Anolis sagrei: one gene and its partner. The protein of the gene in region 2 interacts with the protein of the main gene of each other region in a pairwise test. Links are inferred from orthologs where the notes say so. Each region holds a gene or a part of one and is shown on either strand. Other genes may lie near its edges.

Evidence for each region.
Region 1: the proteins of TOLLIP (region 2) and TOM1L1 interact in binary tests that used the Homo sapiens proteins (3 or more experiments, as listed by UniProt). The link is inferred for Anolis sagrei from reciprocal best matches to the Homo sapiens genes TOLLIP and TOM1L1.

What each region holds. Positions count from the first base shown.
Region 1 is NC_090022.1:142,895,277-142,902,589, forward strand, and holds the start of TOM1L1 (TOM1-like protein 1), read left to right. Parts: upstream 1-4,301; 5' UTR 4,302-4,588; coding exon 4,589-4,646; intron 4,647-7,313. UniProt on the Homo sapiens protein: Probable adapter protein involved in signaling pathways. Interacts with the SH2 and SH3 domains of various signaling proteins when it is phosphorylated. May promote FYN activation, possibly by disrupting intramolecular SH3-dependent interactions.
Region 2 is NC_090021.1:243,081,957-243,089,618, forward strand, and holds the start of TOLLIP (toll-interacting protein), read right to left. Parts: upstream 3,017-7,662; 5' UTR 2,889-3,016; coding exon 2,856-2,888; intron 1-2,855. UniProt on the Homo sapiens protein: Component of the signaling pathway of IL-1 and Toll-like receptors. Inhibits cell activation by microbial products. Recruits IRAK1 to the IL-1 receptor complex. Inhibits IRAK1 phosphorylation and kinase activity.

The sequences.
Region 1 (7,313 bases), on a different chromosome or scaffold from region 2:
GTTGCCCTGAGAATATCAGTCTACACATCAAAGGTGGGGGCAGGACAGATGGAGACAGGGAGAGAGTCAGTCTACCAACTTAGACCCTATCTACTTTTGATCCATTTCCTATCATGAGCACTGCTTTCTTATGTAGAGCATAATTGAATTCCAACATATGGAGAGGTGACTGTATATGCACAGCTTCTAGAATCCCCCATGCTGACTGGGGAATCCTGAGAGCTGCAGTTTAGGAAAGTAAGTTTTTCAAACTCATTTCAGAACTCATGTAAGGAGTTCTCAGGTTGACTTACATTTCTGGTAAATTCTACACCATAAGTGATTCCAAGTTATAAGCAATTAAATGTAATGAGCCTATGTACTTTAATTTTCAAAGTTCTTTACTTTAGAAAAACCATTTCACTTTACCACATAAATGACCAATTATGAAAGAGGGCACACCCTGCACAGTATCCCCTAATACACACTTTAAAATGTTTTATTTTACCCTAAAATGTCGTCTAAAGGACATGAGGACATTCTCGCCATGTTTTGAAGCCCAGGTGAGTCCTGTTTTAACAATGAGAAGTCAGTGGAAGCCCATTCCTATTCAAAAAAGCCCTCTCTCATTCCTCAGACATTGTGGAAATGGCTTCCACGCTCCCTGGATGGCATTTGGGGACACAAATTGACCCCTGAGGCCCAAAAAATGTTTGGACTTCTTATACAATTTTGTGAATGAAGCAAAGTGATTGCCCACTTTAGAGGAATTTTATTTTGTAGAAACACTCTTCCTTGTTCACAAAATTATATAAAACTCCAAAGTTTGTGGTCGTCTACTTGCAATCCTCTTATGTCTTCTCACATCTCATTTATTTTTGTTTCCGCACACAATGTGTAAAGGAGGAAATGGCAAAAGGGCTGTAACATGTCTTTCATTTGGTAGTGAAGGGAGGAAGACTTTCACCTGGAAGCGCCTTTCCCAGTTGATATTTTATTTATCCCACAGCAGTCTGTCATGCCATGGAACATTTCCATCTCGCATCCCACTGTCTGAAGCTGTATTCCCCTCTTCAACCTGCAGCACCAGAAATGCCAACTGTTTGCTAGAGATTTGCCCTCAACAATGTCCAAGACCTACATGTGAAATCTGCAAAAAAGATGGATAACAAAGCCTTCAGTGACTCTTGACTTATGGTTGTCCAAGGATGCCATCTGGCTTGAAACTAAGCAGCCAGCCTGGCTTCTTAGCAAAGCTTTGGTGTGCCAAAATCATCAGGTGCAGTGCTTTCACCCTGGAATGGAGTTAAATAATTACATCTAAAAATAAAGAAGTCTTAGTGTTTGAATCCAACCCAAGTTCCCAACAAGGGCTTCCTTTTCAGCCACGGCCATTACGTTAGTAGGACAAGTGACAGCAGATTAATCAATGTCATGCACTTTGAAGGATATAAGTTGAATCTCCAGGGGTGCATCTACAGTGCAAAATTAATGTAGTTTGAAACCACTTTGTCCATGCTCAGTGCTATGTAATAATGGAAGCTGTAGTTCATTGAGGCAGCAACACTCTTTGGCAGAGAAGGCAAAAGGATTCCAAAGCATTGAGGGATGGGAGTTCAAGAGGTGTCTACAGTGTACATGCTCCCTGGGATTTCCACTTTAAAGGACCAGGGAAGTGGGTTTCATTGCATGAAATCCTAGAAAGCCTCTGCCAAGGAGAGAAGACAATATTATGCAAAATGGAAAAAGAGTACATTGGTATAAAAATAATAGAAATAATGTATCTTGATAACTGGAACCAATGAGGTTCAGTGATTCAAGTATTGGACTAAACCATGGAAGCACACTGAGTGACCTTGGGCAAGTCACACTGTCTCAGACGAAGACAAATGGTAAACAATCCTCTGAGAAAATGTTGCTGAAAAAATCCTATGCATAGTTAGGTACAGTTACTGTACAGATGTTAGGAAATATTGCTCAAAAATGCATGTGTTTATGTGTATCATTACATGCGTATAGATTTTTTTAATTGCAGTTCTTTTTCATAAATATGCAAATAAAAATTAAAAATATTTAAATAAAAATATTGTGCTGGGTTCACTTTATGTTCACACTAAGTCAAAAAGGATTTGATGAAAGACAATAATTATGTATGCTGATGTATCTAATGTCTATCTAAGGCTGCTTTATCTAGGCATGTTGATGTGATAACATAATAAAAAGTGAAAGAAACTCACAATATTTTGCGTTCTTTCCTCCACCATACTGAGGCAGCAGACAAGAGTTTACGGGTAATTATAGTGAGTTACAGGTTTCTGGAGAAGGACTGCTGGTGAGCCCATGAGAAACAGTGAGAAGGAAGGCTGTCATTGCTACTGCAAAGCATGTGCCACCTGGTTAATGGTAGGACTGGCCCTTTTCACAGTCTTGTTTTGCTTCCAGAAGTCTAGCATTGTCCACATATGGTATCCACAAGGTTTAGTTCCAGGATCCCCTGTAAATACAAAAAGTGATGGCTGCTCAAGTTCCATTATATGCAATGGCCTTTATATAACATGGCAAAATCAAGGTTTGCTTATGGAATTTTCTTTAATATTTTCAAGCTGTAAATCCATGGATGCAGAAACTCACATTTAAAAGAAAAGATGGGGGAATGGAACTGAGACATTCAGAGGTCAAGTTCTCCACCTGTCCACAAAGGTCCCTTTTACACTGCCATATAATTCAGATTATCAAAGCGGACATTCCACATTATCTGCTTTGAACTGGATTATATGAGTCTACGCTGTCATATAATCCAGTTCAAAGCAGATAATCTGGATTTAATTTGACAGTGGAGAAGGTGCAAGAGTCCTGAACCGTCCTATGATTTGAAAATATGAGGGCAGAATTAAAAAGCATTGCCATGTTAATCTGGAATATCCATACATCTAAGAAAGTAGCCTCGACTATCCACATTTATGCAATCCATTTTTTTCTCAGTGAGTCTCTATATTCCAAATACATGTGTTTGTGTATGAATAGCATCATACATCACTCTTACCCACAAAACAAAGTTAAAGTAGTGTCTGTGCAACTGCAGAAGGGTTGCAAATTTCAAAGCTTTGGACATGTTGGTTGTCATTCAAAGTCATAAAGAATGTTACGGGTGAATCTGCACCATAACATTGATGCAGTTTGTCACCACTCTAAATGTCAGTGTATTACAAACTTTTCAACATCTTCCAAGGAGTTCTGGTGCCTCACCAAGTGACAATGCTGGTTGCTTCTGCTTCACCACACTAAAACAGTGGATGTGGCTCTTAATGAGACATGACGCATTATCACGGGGTGTCTGCGCCTTACACCACTGGAGAAATGACACTGTCTAGCCGGTATTGCACCACCTGACATCCGCTGGGAAGTGGCAGCCAATAGTGAAAGGACCAAGGCAGAGACATCTCCAGCTCATCCCCTGTTTGGGTATCAGCCAACACGTCAATGACCTAAATCCAGACATCGTTTTCTAAGATCTACAGAGACATTCGCTGGAACACCTCAGCAAGTGAGAATCTAAAAGTGGCAGGCTCAAACCCAGAACCTCAACCAATGGCTGATACCAAATGAGAAACTCCCCCCTGGGCACACAGAGGACTGGGCGACTTGGAAGGCGCTGAACAGACTGCGCTCTGGTACCACGAGATGCAGAGCCAACCTTAAGAAATGGGGCTACAAAGTGGAATCCTTGACATGCGATTGTGGAGAGGAGCAAACCACTGACCACCTGCTGCAATGCAACCTGAGCCCAGTCACATGCACAATGGAGGACCCTCTTGCAGCAACACCGGAGGCACTCCAAGTGGCCAGATACTGGTCAAAGGACATTTAATCAACTACCAAACTCACACATTTTGTATTTTCTCTGTTTGTTTGCTTTGTTCTGTTAGAAATGTAATATAATTGACTGGCTGCCCTGACACGAGAAATACTGTTTACCCACAAGCAGAAAGAAATTACATATATTAGAAATCAAAACTTTCTCATTATTTTCCAGATCAGCAGACTGGGCCACAGCAACGCGTGGCAGGGGAAGGCTAGCAAATAAATAAATAAACCGTGAGAGAGAAGGCTGCCAATGCTATTGCAAAGCACGTGCCACATGGCTAATGGTAGGGCTGGCCCTTTTCACATGGAGTTTGCTGAAGCACTAGCACGCCTTGGCAGAGAAGGCTACAGATCTTGTAAAACTACAACTCCCGGGATTCCCATAGCATTGAGCCCCAGCAGTTCAACTTTATTCATTGCACAGTGTAGATGCATCCTGAGCCGTGTTTGGCTGGGGGAGAAAGAGGAAGTCCCTCCTCTGCGTGGTCAGGGCTGCTGCGCCCCTTCTCTCTCCTCCTCTCCCTCTTTCTCTCTCTGTGTGTTTCTCTCTTGCGTTTCCCGGGGAGGATCCTCGGCCAGGAGCCCCACCTGGAGCTTCCCTCTGGCTCCTCCTCCTTGGAGCGGAGACGGAGCCTGGCTCCCAAACGGCAGGAGCCCGAGTCCAAGGAAGCAGCAGCAGGAGCAGGAGCAGGAGCAGCAGCGACTCCCGGGCCAAGTCCCTCTCTTTCTTTTGGGAGACCAGAACATGGCTTTCGGGAAGAGCCAGAAGGACCCCTTTGGTACCGCCGTGGGGCACCTGATCGGTAAGGATAAGCCCTCCTCTCTTCTTGCCAACGGAAGGGCATCTACACTGTAGAGTTAATACAGTTTGATTCCACTTGAACTGCTATGGAAGCATGAGGGTTGGGGAGAGGGATCCTTGGTAGGGAAAGCTAAGACTTTGTGAAACGACACCTCCCACTCTTCCATAGAATCCAGCCATGGCAAGGTAAAGTGGGGTCCAAGCCGTATTCATTGTACAGTGGAGATCAGGCATTGGCAAACTTCAGCCCTCCAGGTGTTTTGGACTTCAACTCCCACAATTCCTAACACCCAAGTTGGCCCATGCCTGGCATAGATGGACTTCGGGGTTGGGTTTGAATTGGAAAGGAAGCGAAAAGAACTTCAGTTGTCTCGACTCCAGGTTCAGGCTGTCCAGGAATGAAGCTTCTTTCCTTATGATATTTATATTATACTAGCCGTCGCCTGCCACACATTGCTGTGGCTCAGTCTGCTGATCTGGAAAATAAAGTAATGAGAAAGTGGGTTGTTGTAGGTTTTTTTGGGCTATATGGCCATGGTCTAGAGGCATTATCTCCTGATGTTTCGCCTGCATCTATGGCAAGCATCCTCAGAGGTAGTGAGGTCTGTTGGAACTAGTAAAACAGTTCCAACAGACCTCACTACCTCTGAGGATGCTTGCCATAGATGCAGGCGAAACGTCAGGAGAGAATGCCTCTAAAACATGGCCATACAGCCTGAAGAAACCTACAACAACCCAGTGATTCCGGCCATGAAAGCTTTTGACAATTTAATGAGAAAGTGTTGTTTCTAATATATGTAATTTCTTTATGCTTGTGGGTAAACAGTATTACCTCTGAGGATGCTTGCCATAGATGCAGGTGAAACATCAGGAGAGAATGCCTCTAGAACATGGCCTTATAGCCCGAAAAAATCTACAGCAACCCAGTATTTGATTACGTTTTCTTGCCCTGGTGAAGTGAGTTGGACTTGATGGCCTTAAGTATTTTGTATTGGTCATAGAGGTTCTTTGTGGGAAGTTTGCCCCAATTCTATTCTTCGTGGGGTTCAGAATGCTCTTTGATTGTAGGTGAACTATAAATCCCAGCAACTACAACTCCCAAATGACAAAATCAATTTTTTTAAATGAAGGGCATACATTGGGTTGCTAGGTGTCTTGTGTCCAAATTTGGCAACAATTCATTCAGTGGTTTTTGAGTTCCGTTAATCCCACGAACGAACATTACATTTTTATTTATATAGACTAGCTTGGGGACCAGCTATGCCTGGGTTATTTGAGTGTTGGGCCTGTGTACCAAGTTTGGCCCAGATCCATCATTGGTAGGGTTCACAATGCTTTCTGGATGCGAGGTGAACTACTGCTGATCGAATCCGGGGAGTTTGAATCTGGGGAGTGGGTGAGTTTCCACCTGTCAGCTCCAGCTTCTGCGGGGACATGAGAGCAGCCTCCCATAAAATGGTAAAACATCTGGGCATCCCCTGGGCAACATCCTTGCAGACAGCCAATTCTCTCACACCAGAAGCAACTTGCAGTTTCTCAATTCACTCCTGACACAAAAAACCCCAAACACATCAACAAAAGAATAAATAATAGAGGGGGGAAGGGATTAAAAGCTTGCTTGAAATCTCCAAGTACTTGCTCCCTTTAAGTTAAGACTTTCTCCTGGCCATTGGGTTGGACCTATGGTGTATCTAGTACATTGTAGAATCCATGCAGTTTGACACCAATTATTTATTTATTTATTTACTATACTTGTATACTGCTTTTCTCAGCCTATCGACGACTCAAGGCAGTTCTGCCAAAGAGCGCTGGTCCCTTACCAAACTACAACTACCGTGGAATCCTGGTAGTTGTAATTTTGTAAGGGACCAGCACTCTTTGACAGAGAAGGCAAAAGACCTTATAAAACTACAGCTTCCATGATTCCACAGCACTGGCTGCTTCTACATTGTAGAAATCATGGAGTTTGATGTCGCTTTAACTATCATGGCTCAGTGCTATGGACGCATGGCAGAGAAGGCTAAAGACCTTGTCAAACTACAACTCCCATGATTCCATAACATTGAACTGTGTTGGTTAAAGTAGTGTCTAACTGCATTGATTCTACTGTGTAGCTGTAGCCCTAGAATTATAGAGTTGGAAGAGGTCACAAGGGCCATCAATCAGGCAAGAAAACACAACCAAAGCCCTCCCAACAGATGGCCATCCAGCCACAGCTAGGAGACTTTACCAAGGCAGTATATTTCACTGCCAAACAACTCTTACCATCGTGAAGTTCTTCATAATGTTTAGGTGGAATTTCTTTTCTTATTTTTTTAATCTATTGTTCTTTATGACATCATTTTAAATGTCATCATATTTAAACAGGGTTATCACATCGACTCTTACCTTTCTCTTTACATCAGCTCCCAACATCCACAACCAGAATGCTGTCCCTTGGCTGGGGATGGTTATTGGCTTGTTAGTTGCTTTCGTCTGGAGTGGCCCAAAGGGCACACTGGTCTTATTGTTAGGATAAGAAAGAGAGTGACTGGATTAAGGTGATTTGTATGTGCTCACAAGCCACAGCTTGTATCGTTTGAGCCATCATTCAGTTGAAAGAGAAAACTGCATTAATCTGTTTCAGTGTCAAAACATAGGAGTGGAAAGAGTCTTGTGGTGGTTGTTG
Region 2 (7,662 bases):
CCCCATAAACCTGGCATTTATGTTCCAAAGACTTTGGAATATATCAGAAAGGAAGAGGTCAGCCTAGACTATTGGAAGTTGATGCCCTTCTGACACATATGTCTCTGGGAAGAGAAGAATGACACCTTTCCTCAGAGGGAATGTATGTGTGCATATGTGACTTCAAGTTTCCTGCTGACATAATGGCAACCTCATAAATTTCACAGGATTTACTTTGTCAAGGCATACACAAGAGCAGTTCCTTTTTCTGAAATGTAGTCTACAACACCTGGTATTTGTTGGCAGGCTCCTACCCAAGTACTAACCAGGGGATGACCTTGCATAGCTTCCAAGATCAGATGGGAACTGTTTTCTTCAGGGTATTTGTGGCCCTACATACATAAGAAGATAAAACAAGACTGTGAAGCTTTCCACAAGACAACTCTCTCTGCTAAGTGGTATGTTGTGCTAAATCTCTCTTGGCCCTTTTAAAATAATAAAGCAAAAATCGTTTTTTTCAGTACTCAGAAAAATCCTATTCACAGACAATGGAGGGCTCTTCCAGGGGTTTCCGACAGGTTGAACATCTCTTATCCAAAATTCTGAAAAACTCCAAAATCTAAAATTGTGGCTGAGATAGTGATATCACAATTCATGGTGTACTGTACACAAACTTGGTTCCATGCAGAACATTATTAGCAATATTGTATAAAATTACATTCAGTCTATGAGTCTAAGGTGTATATCAAACAAAAATGAATGTAGTGTTAAAACAGTGATACCATCTCCAAGTATCTCAATATTTCAAAATCCTTCCCAAAAATAATAATCTGAAATCTAAAACATTTTTATTCCCAAACTGCCACATGTCAAGGTCATAGTTCTGCAGTCTACTGTGTATACTCATTTACTGTATAATCAAACCTCATGTATAAATTGAGGGAAGATTTGGGAGCCCAAATAATGAATTCTGATAGAGTGGAAGCAATCAGTGCTTCTTTTAGGTTCTCCCAGGATAGACTAAGCTCTTGCTTTTTGTAACTCTACTCAGAGAAGGGAATGGTTCCATTTATTGTAAGAGTTAGGTCACAGTGTGCTCAACACTGGCCTGTGGATAAGTGAAGCCATATTTTTCGGTTGATATTTTGACTAAAATGTTTAGATTTATACACCACTATGTAAGTCAGCTGAGCCTTTCCAGGCTGAACTGCTCTGAACCATAGGCCTGCATCATAGTACAATGATCTTTAGCACATGACTTCCCAACTTGCTGGCCTAAATATGCACCTCTCTACTATAAATCGAAGTCTTTCTCAAAAGTAGGTTTTCCTTAAACCTTTTCCATTCCTATTCTGTCTGAGAAATTTTCCATGATCCCAGGTATATAGGTATATAAAATTCGTATTAAAAAAATCAAACATTTGTTTACTGATAACACAGCCCAATCAAATAAATAAAATAAAATATGGTGTCTTAGCTTTTAGGTCTGTTCCTGGGATTATTCAGGATGCTGATTCTGAAACTTGCACTGGATACACTACTTCAGCTCTAGTTTCTTAGTTAGTTACCATGGTTTTCTGTGGATGAGCAGGTAACAACTAGCAGACGCATATGTTCTGTATCTGAAAAACTAAAGCTGATAGGTGGAAACTGGTGCCATTTTTTGAATCAGCAGGTCAAATATACCCAGAAACAGGGCTAATATATGGGGAACAAAATGTGTGTTGGCCAGTGTAGTAAATCAACATTTGCAAGGCTTGCTAAACAGGCCGATTTTTCCTGTTTATGAAGCACTAGCCCTCCCCTGCCACGGGTTGCTGTGGCTCAGTCCGTGTATATGTTTTGTGTGTATATATAATTGTGTATAAGTGTTTGCATGTGTATGTGCGTGTATATATGGGTTTGCGCATGCTTTGTAATATATATAAATTTGTTTTGTTTTGCTTTTTATGTCTCTTCTGCTGTGTTTTTCAGTGTTTTATGAGTGATGGCCACTCATTGGCCTGATACATGTATTGTGCCCAAATTTGGTGTCAATTCGTCCAGTGGTTTTTGAGTTATGTTAATACCACAAACGAACATTATGTTTTTATTTATATAGATACCTGAAGCCTTTTCTGAAGTCCTAACACCGGGTGCTGTTGCCAACCGACTTCCATAAATGGGTGGCCTTCAGAAACCTTTTACTGGTGTCATATTTTTCCTGATCCGCAGCACTGAGGTAAAGTAAGGGAACCCATTTGAGGTCAGGACGCCCAGTTTTTCAGAAGCAGCATTCTTTGGTATAATTTCTGCAGTTCATTTCGGATGTGGGATGCTGGCAGCACATAGCCAGTAGCAGAAGGGGAGAAATGTGGGAAAGCTGCGTCTCAGGCTGGGTTTACACCAGGCATTGGCAAACTTGGGCCCTCCAGGGTTTTGGACTTCAACTCTCACCATTCCTAACAGTCTCGGGTCCTTAGAGCTGAGGCTGTGAGGAATGGTGGGAGTTGAAGTCCCAAACATCTGGAGGGCCCAAGTTGTCCCATGCCTGGCCTACACTGACAAATGGAGTTCAAAAGGCGTTATCTGGCAGTGTAGATCCAGCCATAGTTTCAACACGGCGTTGTATTTTCCGTGGGCCTGCAAGAGTCCCCGTGCCCCTCGCCTCATCTGGCGTGTCTGAAGGCGAGGACACTGCCAAAGCGCGAGGAGTCACCCGGGAGAGCGCAACCCTCGCAGCCCTCCCTCTCTGCCTGGAACGCAGAGAAAGGGACCCTCTCGGTCCACAGGACCCAAGAAGGCCTCCTCCATTCCAAAGGCCGGGGTGTCTCCTCGTCAGCCCACGCCAGCCTCCGCCCAGGAGCCTTCTTCCTCTCGCAGACGCCGGGACTCACCGGGCCGCGCTGAGTGCTCACGGTGGTCGCCATGGCAACTCCCTCAGGCCGCGGGGTCCCTCGCGCGTCCCCTCGCGCCCTCCTTCCGCCGGAGCCCGTGCCGCGAGCCCAAGTCAGCTGACCGCGCTCCCTTCGCCGCCGCCTGGCCACGCCCCCGGCTCTCCGCTATCCGCCACTGCCCATGCGCAGAAGACGCTCCCACCCCCGCCCCCTCAGCCTCAGGAACCGCTAATCGGCCCCGCGCATGCGCCAAGAGGAGTATGAGCCGGCTGCCAATGGGCGCCCGTCTTTTCCCATCGTTAAGAGCCTTGCGGATGTTGGGAAGAGCGGACGGGCGCGTGCGCGCCCCCGCGCGAGCCTAGTGGTCCTCAGTTTGCTTTGAAACACTAATAACGGCTGCGCAGTAAAGCCAATGATGGGCGACAGCCTTTTGAAACTGGTGCTCAGTGACGTCACAACGTTGACCCAGGCAACGCGCTGCAAAGGGGAGGGGCGCTTCTGCTGACTCACAGGAGGGAAGCCACGCCCTCGGCGGATCCCGATTGGCCGCCTTTGCCGGAGTGGGCGTGGCGCCGTCCTTAGTCCTCCAAGGCCATAGATCAGAGGAGGAAGACGTAGATGGAATCAGTTCGGATGGGTTCTCTTCACTTCCATATAATATGTGTAGTTCGCTCACTCCGGGCAGCCTACACTGTAGGAAGAATGCAGATTGACACCACTTTAATTGCCATGGTTGAATGTCTATGGAATTATGGCAGTTGTAGTTTAGGGAAGCACCAGCACTATTTGGCAGACCTTGTAAAACTGCAACTGCCATGATTACATGACTGAGCCATATAGCAATTAAACCAGTGTCAAAGTTCTTTATTTCCACAGTGTAGAAGCACTGTAGCTCTAGCAAAGACTCCTGTCTCCTCTGAATGAATGCCTGGAGGAGGTAATGGGCTGGAGGAGGAAAAATAAATTGAAACTGACTCCAAACAAGACAGCGGTACCTGCCACCAAGGGTCCTAACTTGAGGATGGAGGTGTGTCAACCAGACCTGGATGAAGTTACACTCCCCCCGAAAGATTGTGTTTGCAGCTTGGAGTGCTCCTGGACCCAAATCTCAGCCCAGGGAGATGTGACCGTCAGGAGTGCTTACTGCCAGCTGCACCCCTTCCTAGATTTGGGTGACCTGAAGGTGGTAATGCACATGCTGGTAACCTCAAAGTTGGACTTCTGCAATGCACTTTACATTGGGCTACCTTTGTACCAAGTTCGGAAACTCCCGATTAGTTCAGAACACAGCAACTAGATTGGTTACAAGAACATCCAGGAGTGAGCATACTATACCTATACTAAAGTCATTCCACTGGCTGTCAATTAGTTTCTGGGAGAAGTAGAAAGTGTTGGCTTTGACCCTTAAAACCCTACATGCATGGCCATAGCCAGAAAAAAAAATTGGGGGTGGGGTGAAACTTTTTTTTTAGCAAATTGTGAAGAGTAGTTCCATAACACAAAATAATTTAAATACTATGGTTCATTCTATATTTTATATAGGATTAATTAAATCAATTTTCTAGTTTAGTTACAAAGTTTAAAGTCTTAAAATAACTGAAAATGACTGTTAATTTGTAATTTATACTTACAAAAGAATACCAAAACGTCTGTTGGAAACATTTGAAAAATGTTTCAGTACACCTTGACAGAAATCAGACTCCACTGAAAACTTCAGTGGACACTCAAGAGTGCAAGTCCAGTTTAACTTTCTTGCCCCATTGTGCTCATGTATGTTTTCAAACGTTTAAGAGTTGAAAACAGCCTATATATAGGCATAGCAATGGGAACCCTACTATCTGGAAAAGGGGAGCAGGGGAGCAAGGAGGGGAAGGCCTAATTCCCCATCAGGAACCTGCCTCCAGCTCACACTGAAGCAAAGGGCACAGCAGGGGAAAAGCAGCCTTAAATAGCCTGCAGCTCCGCCCCTGTCAACTACACCCACCAAGTCTGGTCTCCTTCATGAGAGCCTTCAAATCCCCTCCCCCCCCCCTCCGTCTCAATGCCTTAGCCTTTGCCTGCCAGTTATGGATGGGCCAACTTGGTTGTATCCACTATATCAGCTATTGCTACAACTAATGATAGTGTGAATAAATTGTCAACATTTGCTTGAGATAGTGCTTGCGGTTCTGGAGATACTTGTTTAATTTTTGCTTCTCATAGACTTCGCATAGGGATTTGGTTAACCAGTTAAATTCATAAGTGAACCGGGGGGGGGGGGTTAACCTGAAAAAAATGGGGGGGGGGACCCCTATCCCCACTCCTGGACTACAACCTTGTCTGTGTTGGGAATCAACCTGTGTTTGTGTTCCAGGATCATGATGCTTCTGATGATGCTTTTGAAGTGGGAAATGATGTGGGCAGTGCTGTGAGATATGATGAGGAAAATGATGGTGCTGAGATGCAAGATGGAGATGGTTTGGTCAATGATTTTCATGCAGACAATGACAGAGAGGCCCCAGCGCAAAGGGCACTTTCTCATGAGAATATTCCTGCTGGGCATAGGGATGATGGTTTACTCCCTCTCTCTGTGAGCTCTCAAGATTTGGGTTTGGAAAACAATCTGACACCTGGAAATTTTAATGAGCAGCCAGAAAGGGAGTTGAAAAACAGGCGGCTGGAGTTCAGCCTGGATCGACAACAAACTCAAGGTTTACACCGTTCCGAAAGGCTTCGTCAGATAAGAGCCAAAGGTGGGGGGAAATGAAACCAGTTTCTGGATTTGGGGATATAAGGTTTGCTTCAAGGGAAAACCTGTTAGATTAAGTTCATGTGCCATGGAAATCCTGTTTTAGGGGTCTTGTTCCTATGGATACTTCTAGCCTTTTGGTGTTGATTAGCAACGCCAGGATGGTCTTTGCATCTTGTTTGATTCCTATCTGGATAAATACTGCCTTAGATTGCTTTTATATCTTTTGTGGACATTGCTTTGAGTTACTGCATTTTACTGACCTTTTACTTTTTACTTTCCTATTTTCTTACAAGCATTTCTTTCTACGGGCTATTTTACTAAGCTTCAATAAAAAGGATTTGTTTTTTCACTCATTGTGTGGTGTGTTTTAAAGTCAGAGGGCTTTTCCTGTTCTGGAGTGCAACAGTCTACATAGTTCAAATTAACTACAGGATCACCTTCTCCCATATAATCTTCCCCAAACACTGAGGTCCTGGGGGGGGGGGGGGCATCTACTCCAGCCAGCCAGAACCTGACTAGTGACTGTCACTCAGAGGATCTTTTAATTGGCCGCCCCAAGACTGTGGAATGACCTTGTGGAGTCAGCAAAAGGCTGAGCAACTAGTCAGCCCTAAAGAACATGGTAAAGAAAGTGCTCAAAATGAACTAGCTGCCCAGCGCTTTAGAGTTGGGGGTCTTGAGGTCCTCTAGATCTCTTCTTAAAACTGTGGGTCCCAACCTCACAGGCAGCCAGTGTTATAACAGGAAGAGCCAATTCTCTTTCACATTAGATTGTCTGAAACAAATGACAGTTACCTCACATTTAGCATTGGCCTCCCACAACCCCTTGTGTAATTCCAGTCTCTTCAACAGAACAAAGACAACTTGAATATTAATCTAAGTGCTGTACTGGGATATAAAATTTGCTCATTTTAAAGCCTAGTTAAATAATATTGTTTCCAGCTGCTAAGATCTGCAGCATTAATTCAGTCATTAATTAAAATTCATGCAGCAGATCCCAACAGCTGGAAATAGAATTGTGCAATTAAGAGCTTTCTAAATTTATAACACATTTTTATGCATCATTGTATTGCACGTATGAGAAGATGCTCTGTATTATCACTGTGCTGGCACCCATAAATAAAATGATTATGATGTCATGTAATTAACAGGGCATAGAAAGGTGGCATTCACTTGAATGTGGAGGGGTGACTACCTCCCCACATGAGCAATGTGACTGGATTCAATTTAGTCAGCCAGGTGTGAATGAAAGGTTTATTTAGCCATTCACAGTCTTTTAATTCCAGTGAGAGTTGGGGGGAAAAATCCTGTTTTTTAATTCTGTTAGGACAGCAGAGCCAGGAAAAAATAAAACTGACTTTTGGTTCAATAGAGATTATTCCAAAAATGGATTGTGAATTGGTTTTATACTGTGTCTTGTATTTGTTTTTTCCTATGTTGTACACCGCTGTGAGTCGCCCCCGGCTGAGAACAGCGGTATAGAAGCAAAGTAAATAAATAAATAAATAAAAATCCTCAGCATGCTTCAGCAATGCTGTGTTTCATTTAGGGGGAAGTTTCTCTTTGCTGTGACCATGAAATAGAATTTCACTATTTTTGTGAAATTTTAACAAGTGGGATTGCATGATAAAAGAATGGGATAAAATATTTTAATTGAAATAAATAAATGGTAGGCAAAATTTCCTACAGGCTTTAGACCCTATCTGATCTCAGAAGCTAAGCAGGGTTAGCCCTGGATAGTACTTAGAATGGAGACTCAAGGAATACCAGGAGCTCTAGGCTATGTTTCAGAGGAAGCAACTGGCAAAACTGCCTTTGAGTATTCCTAGCCTAGGAAAAATTATGAAATGGATAGGGTCGCCATCTGAAGGCACATAAATACACAGCACTTGTCAGATTATAACTGTGCTACTATGTTGAAATATATGTTCTGTCTGCTATTTTTAAAAGAAGAGACAAAAAACAATTTCCAAAGCTAATTTTTAGGCCCATGGGAAAATGGCTAGTCATGGCTCTGTGTCTGCATTGTCTTTCCTACACTGAATATACTGGAACAGAATAGATAATACTTACAAA